Linked DNA regions of Rattus norvegicus. The protein of the gene in region 1 purifies or fractionates together with the protein of each later gene. This does not show direct contact. Links are inferred from orthologs where the notes say so. Each region holds a gene or a part of one and is shown in the gene's direction. Other genes may lie near its edges.

Region 1 (4,019 bases):
GCTAACAGACGCGGGTGCCTGGATCTCTCACCTGAAGGAGGTGATTTTACATCAAATGGGAAACTGGCGGCTACACATCCGGCTCCCCGCTCCCTTCCATTCCTGCCGCCAGCCATAAGCTTCAGCGGTGAAACCACGCCCATCCTCAGAAAGGCGTGACACGCCTACTTCTCCCACATGGACCCTGGTTTCTTCAGAGTCCTCGCCCGCCATGCCATGCTAATGTTTGTCTGTGTTTGTCCACCGTGTCAGTGACTCTTAAGATTAAAAAAAAAAAAAAAAAAAAAAAGAAACCCGCTCGCCAACAATCGGCCTCAGTGTCCTTCTGGAACCCTGGTCAGAGACCTCTCAGAGCTATGCATCGTCACACCCTGCCTACCTTACTGGGAAGCCAGGAGGACAGAATGGGAAATCAAGGACAGTGGAGAAGCTTCCGGGTGGAGCACAGAGAGGGGAGTCCCGGGGTCTGGGTCGGATTCAGCTTTGTAACTCTAGGGGAAGTACTCAATTTCTTGGGCCTGAGTTTTCTGTTAAGACAAGGGTATGAGTTGAAGGATGGATGATTATAGGGCTTCTGGACTCCGACCGTTACTGGGGTCGGGCGCGGCATTCCCGGCCTCCCTCCCAAGCAGACGGACCTCATTCCCCTCCCCCGCCCGCTCAGGCCACGCGTCCAAGGTCCTGGGGAGCTCGTCCTCCCCACCCCCACCCACCCTGGAAAACCGAGGTGGGGGGCCCGCCCGGTAGCCTGGCCGCCCGCACTAGGCCGAGACCTAGGTGCCCCGAGCCCGCTGCGCGCACACACAGGCGCGTGATCCCGCCTGCCGATTAGTCAGCAGTTGTGCCAGGCCGGGATCCCTTCCCCCAGCCCTCCCGCCAGCCTCCGTCTCCCTCCAGGGCAGACTCTTCAGAGACGGTCCCTAGAGCCAGCGGGCCTAACCATTCCAAGCCACCAAGCCTCGTGCAGAGGATCCCTCGGGTTTGTTGGGAACACTCGCTCACTAGCGCGCTGACCCCTGAGGTGCCTTTTTTAGACCACGCGTCACGTCCGGCTCTTTGGAGAGGATTGGGTCAACGGTTTCGGGAGCAAAGAGCCGGATATCGCCGGCTCGTTTCTCTTCGCCCACCCCCGTGGCCTGGCCCTATGGTAGCGTCCGAGGTTGCGGGTTTCGCGCCTGCGCAGTGCGGCGCCTAGGGGGAACGCGAGAGGGAGACGGACGTTGAGAGAACGAGGAGGAAGGAGAGAAAATGGCGTCCACGGGTAAGTGGAGTGGGATCGCGGTCGCGCCGGCCACAGCTGGGACGCTCAAACTGGGGGGCGCTTGTCTCTGGGGGTGGCAGGAATGACTCAGTGGAGTTGCCGATAGGGGTTGGAGTTCCCGCCGTGGCCCGACGAGCTCGGGGGGTCCGCGTTCCCTTCCCCTCCCCCCCACTAGGCGGACTGGTTCTGGAACCTTCCGGTGCCCGCGTTGCGCGCGAGGGCCTCGCGGTAGCTGGGGCGTGCGGAGCCCGTCTTGGCCTCTTTTGTGTGGCGGTTGTCGGTGCTGCTGCGCCCGGTCTCTCGCCACGTGGGCGGGGCCTACGGTCTCTGAGGCCCAAAGGGGACCGCGGCTGGGCCTGGACCTCATCACCCCTAAGGCGCGTGAAGCGAGGTGTCTGATGGCGGCTCGAGAAGCGGTGGCCGGTTTCCGTGTCACCTCTCCTCCTATCGCTAGCCTAGGGGCAAGTGTTTATTGTGTAGAAACTCAGATAAAAAGCAAACAAAAAAACGTCGCGAACGTGTAAGCTGAGGGGCGCCGGCTTATGAGGAGCCCCATTATCCTCCAGGCCTGTCCGGGCCCGGCGCTACCAAGCTGCCCCCTGGAGGGCTCCCAGCTCAAGCCCAGCGCTGGCTTGCTGGGTCTTTTAGACCTAGTTGGCGCCCCCAAATCTTCGTCCTCCCGACTCGGAGGCTTCGGTTTTATGTGTTAACTCCACCTCCTTCCTTACCCAAAAAGCAGTAGCTTCCCAGTGTCCCTTTCTCAGCGAACGGCGTGGGGGATTGGTTGTATAACAAGGTCCGTCTGGATCCGGAGAGGAGAATCTTTCCAGAAAGAAATTTCTAGCATCTTTGCTCCAGGAGTAACAGAAAAGCCTCGGCCCCCACGTTTCTACAGGCCTGCTCATTAAGCTAGCAGGCTGATTTATTTCTTGGTCCTATTGAGGGCAGGGAAAAGAGACCCATAGCGGACTTGGGAAGTCCACGGCGGGAACTGGAGGATGTGATGGATGTTGTGGTCCTTAACGAGGGAATAAGTGTAGCCTAGCCTTCACCTGCAGTTCGGCACACAGTTAACTGGCACGGAGGCGGGTTTTGGTTGTTTGTTTTCGCTTCTGGGGGGATCTGTGGTCTGAAAATGTGGCCTTGGAGGCAGTAGGAGAAAGCGAGGGGGAAGACAAGAAAAGCTCTGGGGTCCTTCATTTGGCTTAGGAAAGCATCCAGCATCACAATTTGACGAAGCAAACGATGTAGTTAGTAAACAGGTGGCTTTTGGTACCAGGCTACTCAAAGTGTCCCCAAGAGACGATAGGAGATTCTACTACAGCCTACTGTATCTTAGTGAAAAAATGCTTTCGTGGACCTTTTAGCCTCTAAAGCCCAAGAAAACAATGGCAGGTTTTCTGCTTCATAGATCATTGCCACTTTTTAGTCATCTTTGTTATCAGCAAGTGCAGATAAGCACCGTGAACCAAATTCGAGTTTAAAAGCGTGCTGTTCTACACCCACAGTCCTGGCCCTGTTGAAGGAACTTTATTTAAGATTTGGTAGTCTTTGGTAGTCTAAACTATGAAAAAACATAGTTTAGTTTTAGACCTTTTAAAAGGTTTAATTGACTTTAGGCAGTGGTGACGCACACCTTTGGTGCCAGGGCTGGGAAGGCAGAGGTTGGTCTCTTGAGTTCGAGAACAACCAGGGCTACACAGAGCAATCCTGTCTCAGAAAAAATAAAATTATTTTCTTGAGCCCTTCAGTTCTTAGAGCAACATTTTTTGGTCCCAACAAAGTTACCCTTGCTAGCTTTTTAATGTATTAAGTAGCCCAAACCTTCAAATTTTTTCAGTTTGGCTAATGAAGGCCCTGAAGCAAGTCATTGCTTTAGAGGAATAATGGTTTCCCCTCACCTGTATCTTGTAGAATAGTAACTACAGAGGTTGTCCAGTAAAGCAGAATTACAGTATTTAAATAACTGTCAAAACAAATAGTAAAACATTACTGGCATTCTAGGATGGCCCCTACCCTACATCATAGCCCCTCAGTCTGCCTTTTTAAGTCTTTACATGTTTGGTCATTTAAGGACTTCTTTTTATTTTTTTCAATTGTCTAGTGATCTGACCGTTGCCTCAGTGTCATGTTTGAGGCAGGCTTATGTGCTGTATTGGGGTGGGGGCAGTGGTTGCCTTTTCCTTAGCCCACCAGATCTTTGGTTGCACCCTCATCTGAGGTGGTTAGCTGTTCTGTAGCAGCATTGCCAGTTTTACATAACTGCTCTTGTGTAAGTCTTTGTAAACATGGAACTTAATGCCAATGATTCAAAAAGTCATCTTTACACAGAAACCTCAACAAAATGTAGGTTGTAGTATTTGGATTAAATGTTGGTATATTTTTACAAATGCTACATGGAAGGAAGTGATTTACAGGTGTTTCTTTTCTTTTTCCTTTTTTTTTTTTTTAAATATAAAGAATGTGGCAAGTAGCCAGTCATAGTTTAATCCTAGATTGGGGAGGGCAGAGTTTGAGGCCAGCCAGAGCTACATAGTGAGACCCTGTCTCCAAAAAAAAAAAAAAAAAAAAAAAGGCAGACAAAAAAGGAAGGTAGCAAGTAGGCATGGAGGTACACACCTATAATTTCAGCACTTAGGTTGTAAGAACCATATGGGCTCTGTAGAAAGTTTGAGGCTAGGCTGGTCTATATAGTTAATTAAGGTCATCCAGCTAAGTAGTTAGATCCTGTCTCAGAACTTCCCATCACCCCCAAAGA
Region 2 (4,037 bases), on another chromosome or scaffold:
GTTAAGAGCACTGACTGCTCTTCCAGAGGTCCTGAGTTCAATTCCCAGCAACTACATGGTGGCTCACAACCATCTGTAATGGGATCTGATGCCCTCTTCTGGTGTGTCTGAAGACAGCGACAGTATATTCACATACATAAAATAAATAAATCTTTAAAAAAAAGAGTCTGACATAAACATTTGTCATCTGTCTCCTCTCCGTCTCTAGAGAATAGAGCTCTGAGCAAAGGAATGTGTTGGTTCCCCAGTGCCCTAGCAACTATCGAAATGCATGGATTTCTGTGACTTTCTCTATGGCCCAAATGACAAATGAACAGCTTCTCAAGGGCTTTCAATAAGCTAAGCAACACTCAGAACCGGAGACAAGACTCAGTCTTCAGGCTTCCATTCTCCGCGTCTATAGAAATGAGCCTAGAGGTCTCAAGGAATACAGCAGTTTCACAATTTTATAAAGCAAGTATGACCAAGCTTGTGTGGCTTGGCAGTGTGCAGGGATGGCAAGCAAAGAAAGTAATCTAGGAGTTGGGTGGTACCCGTGGCCTAGCCCAGCCTGCCTTCCCCGGATTGGGTTTGCAAATCCTCACCTAGAAAACGCACCGTTTCTGCAGTCGCGGACCCGTGTGAGTCACCCATTTTAATGATGGCTAAGGTTCAAAGCGCCCACCTCAGAAAGGACTCTGGGAAGGTGTGGCCTCCGTATGAGGCATCAACTATGGCCAGTGGGAAATGTGACAACACTCTGTACGGAAAAATGGCACCTTAACATGAACTGCGGGAAACACTGGATGTCTTTTAGCCTAGCTGGGTTGTTGCCCGCTTTAGAGAGCGACACGATGCATCCAACATGGCTGCGGCGCCAGCGCGGCAAAAAGCAACGGGAAGGAAATGGCGCCGGGGCGTGTGGCTAGCTTGGGGCACAAAGGGCGCTGGGGCGAGGGGCCGAGGCCAACCAAGAGGGTCTCAAGACTTTCAGGGTTCTACGGCCCACAGACCCCGAAGCCTGACCAAAGCAACATGGAAAGCGACCATTGTGTCTGCACAAGGCTGGCATCAAGGGTCGTTTGAGCTCGGAATGCCGGGATAAGTCGATTCTCTAAACAGAATGCGCTACGAAGACTGCGCATCCTCGCAATAGTGGGCTGGCCAACGACGCAAACAATGTTACGTCGTGCCGACGGCTCGCCCCACCCCCACCCAACGTTCTAGAGCTGGCGGCGCGAGAACGCTACGCCGGTTGCGCACACTGCCTTATTTAGGTGGACCAACAAGAGCACTCATCTCCGTCACCGGCGTAAAGCCATTCCTAGAATGTCTGTAGCATCGCGCGCAGCCCTCCAGGCGCTGTTTACGTAGCGTCTCGGCTGTGCGTAGCGTTAAGTTGGAGCAGTCTCAGCGGCCGCCGCCATTTTGTGCAGTTGCTGGGAAGGGAAGGAGACGCCTAAACCGTGGCACCGCCCGGTTTGAGCGTGACCAGACCTCCCAACTGTACTAACAACCCCGATTCTCTGAGTTTTGCTCCCGTCTCCGACGAGAGAGGCGGCGACGGTGGCGTCTGCGACGGGAGACAGCGCGTCGGAGCGAGACAGCGCCGCGCCTGCCGCCGCCCCAACAGCGGAGGCGCCGCCGCCATCGGTCATCACTAGACCAGAGCAGCAAGCCCTCCCGAGCTCGGTCATCCGTGCCCCACTCCCAGATCTTTATCCGTTTGGGACCATGCGCGGAGGCGGCTTTGGGGATCGGGATCGTGACCGGGACCGTGGAGGGTAAGGGGGAGGTGCAGGCGGGGGGCGGGGTGGCCCGCAGAGCCTGAGGCTCGGGACGTACAATGGCGGCAGTGCGCGGGCCTCAGGCTCTGGCGGGCGCCTTTGCGGACCGCGGTCCTGGCTCGGAAGTGGCAGGCCAGCCTGGTCTCCTCTCTTGGCCCGCTCGCTGGTCATTTGATACCTGCAAGCTGGCCCTCGCGTCTTATGGGGAGAACAGTTTTCATCTAGGAAAAGCTGCCTTGAATGGTTTCCTTTCCGCTATGTTAGCCATCCCTTTTAGAGAAGGACTAGAGTCGGAAAGACCTTTTTGAATCTAAACTAGGTTTTACTACCCTTGTGTCTTATTTTGGTTAACTGGAAGCAGTTTGGAATAGGAAGTGCTGGAGTTGATTTCTAAAAGATCGAAATTGGGAGAGCCAAGAGGCAGGTGACTTTTTAAATTGCCTTTTAAAGATCCAGTTGATTTTGAAGCCTAAGCTAAGAAGTTTTGTTTTTATTTTTTTTTCTTTTTTTTCGGAGCTGGGGACCGAACCCAGGGCCTTGCGCTTGCTAGGCAAGCGCTCTACCACTGAGCTAAATCCTCAACCCCCTTTATATGTTTTTTTAATTAGTTAACGTACGAAGCTTTTGGTGGTGTGTTGCCTGAGAAATCCTTGAATATATGCCCTGGAATCAATACATCCAAAAGCTTATGCCAGCTTTATTTCTGACACCTAGAGAGTGGAAACACTTCGCGTCTAGATAAACTCTGGGTGCTTTTTGTTTGGATACGATGAAAACTTGGCTAGTTGTGGTGGCAAATCGACTCAGGAGGCAAAGACAAAACAGATTCAAAGCCAGCCTGATCTGTGTAGTGAGTCCCAGGACTACACAGGGAGCCCCTACCTCGAAGGAAAAAAAGTCTTTGAAAGTAACCAAGCTGTTGAAACCAAAAGAACCCCTTGGGGTGACACATACCAGTAATCCCTGCATTTGAGGCTGAGTCAGGAGCTTGGAGTTAAAAGCTAGCCTGGGCTACACAGATCTTGTCTCAAAACAAGGGAATGGTTAACAGTTCAAAGTGAGGGGCAGTGGTAGAAAAAGGAAATTCGGTTAGAAAACGCCTTGTAAAAGAATCTTAATTGTAGAAGCTTTATTTTCTGCTGGATCATTAAGATGCAAGCAGTTTTGGATTCTAGCAAGCACAGTGGACATACATAGGAACCACATTACACTCGTTTGAGTTAGGCTTAAAACCTCTTAATGATTGGGTCTTGGCTATTGCATGATTGAAAAAGAACTGACTTTCTTGGAAACGTTTTAGAATTCTGTTTGTTACTTCATTTGCAAGTGGAGTGAGGCAGTCAAATGAGAAGCCCTTGACACTGTAATATTGAGCTGAAAAGCCTGAGACCTTAAGGTCTGGTGGGTGTACTCAGTTGTGTATTTTTCTTTCTAGTTGTGTTGTTTTAGCAGTGGTATTAAGTCACCCAAATTCTGCCTACTGAATGTAGATACCCAATGAATTCCAGAAACGTTTCTGGCCATAAATCATTGCAGGGTGGGTTTGTCTCAGTGCTGTGTAGCTTAGTCTGCCCTGGTTGACCTGGAATGTGTCTTCACTGTGCCAGTGTCCAGAGTTCAGAAACAGATGTAGGCCACCACACCAGGCTCTAACAGAAGAGAATATTATTGTCTTGTGGGGTTCCTGCTACCTCTCCCAGTATTACCAGTCTTGACATTCTTTAAAGTAGCTACTATTGAATTTTCTCCAATGCTCTAGTGGTTTACAAGGAATCAGGAGTGAGGTCCTGCAGGGCATGGTGGAAAGAGAGGCCTAGGCCTCCAGCACAGCCAAGGCTATGATAGAGTCTCAGAGAAACAAAACTAAAAAGGAAATGAGTTTTTTTTAAGGCCCTGTACTACATAGATTAAGACAAATAAAGAGGTTATAATAGGACAAATTAGAGGTTATGTTATATTGTTCTGGGAAAAGTAGTTTCTGATTTCTTACATCTTAGCTTTGGCAAGTGGCCATATCTGTATTGTTTAGCTTATCTGTGGTAAACGGTATCTAAAGACAAGACAATTTAAATTTGTTTGAAGGGGTTTTGTTTTGACTCCAGGTCTCTTTGTAGACCAGAACTGGCCTTGAGCTCTGACCTTGTCACCAGCTTTCAAGGGCTAGGATTACACATGTTCAATTCAATACAATCATTAACAAAACAAACACCTGTAACCTACATGTTGGTGAGGTTTTTGGTTTGTTTTCCTCTGTAACTAAATATTAGTTGA

Evidence for each region.
Region 2: the proteins of Ewsr1 (region 1) and Ddx17 purify together in Homo sapiens (affinity purification with mass spectrometry; 3 studies listed by BioGRID, with this or other methods). This does not show direct contact. The link is inferred for Rattus norvegicus from reciprocal best matches to the Homo sapiens genes EWSR1 and DDX17.

What each region holds. Positions count from the first base shown.
Region 1 is NC_086032.1:84,205,289-84,209,307, reverse strand, and holds the start of Ewsr1 (RNA-binding protein EWS), read left to right. Parts: upstream 1-1,212; 5' UTR 1,213-1,248; coding exon 1,249-1,261; intron 1,262-4,019. UniProt on the Homo sapiens protein: Binds to ssRNA containing the consensus sequence 5'-AGGUAA-3'. Might normally function as a transcriptional repressor. EWS-fusion-proteins (EFPS) may play a role in the tumorigenic process.
Region 2 is NC_086025.1:112,986,946-112,990,982, reverse strand, and holds the start of Ddx17 (probable ATP-dependent RNA helicase DDX17), read left to right. Parts: upstream 1-1,235; 5' UTR 1,236-1,713; coding exon 1,714-1,763; intron 1,764-4,037. UniProt on the Homo sapiens protein: As an RNA helicase, unwinds RNA and alters RNA structures through ATP binding and hydrolysis.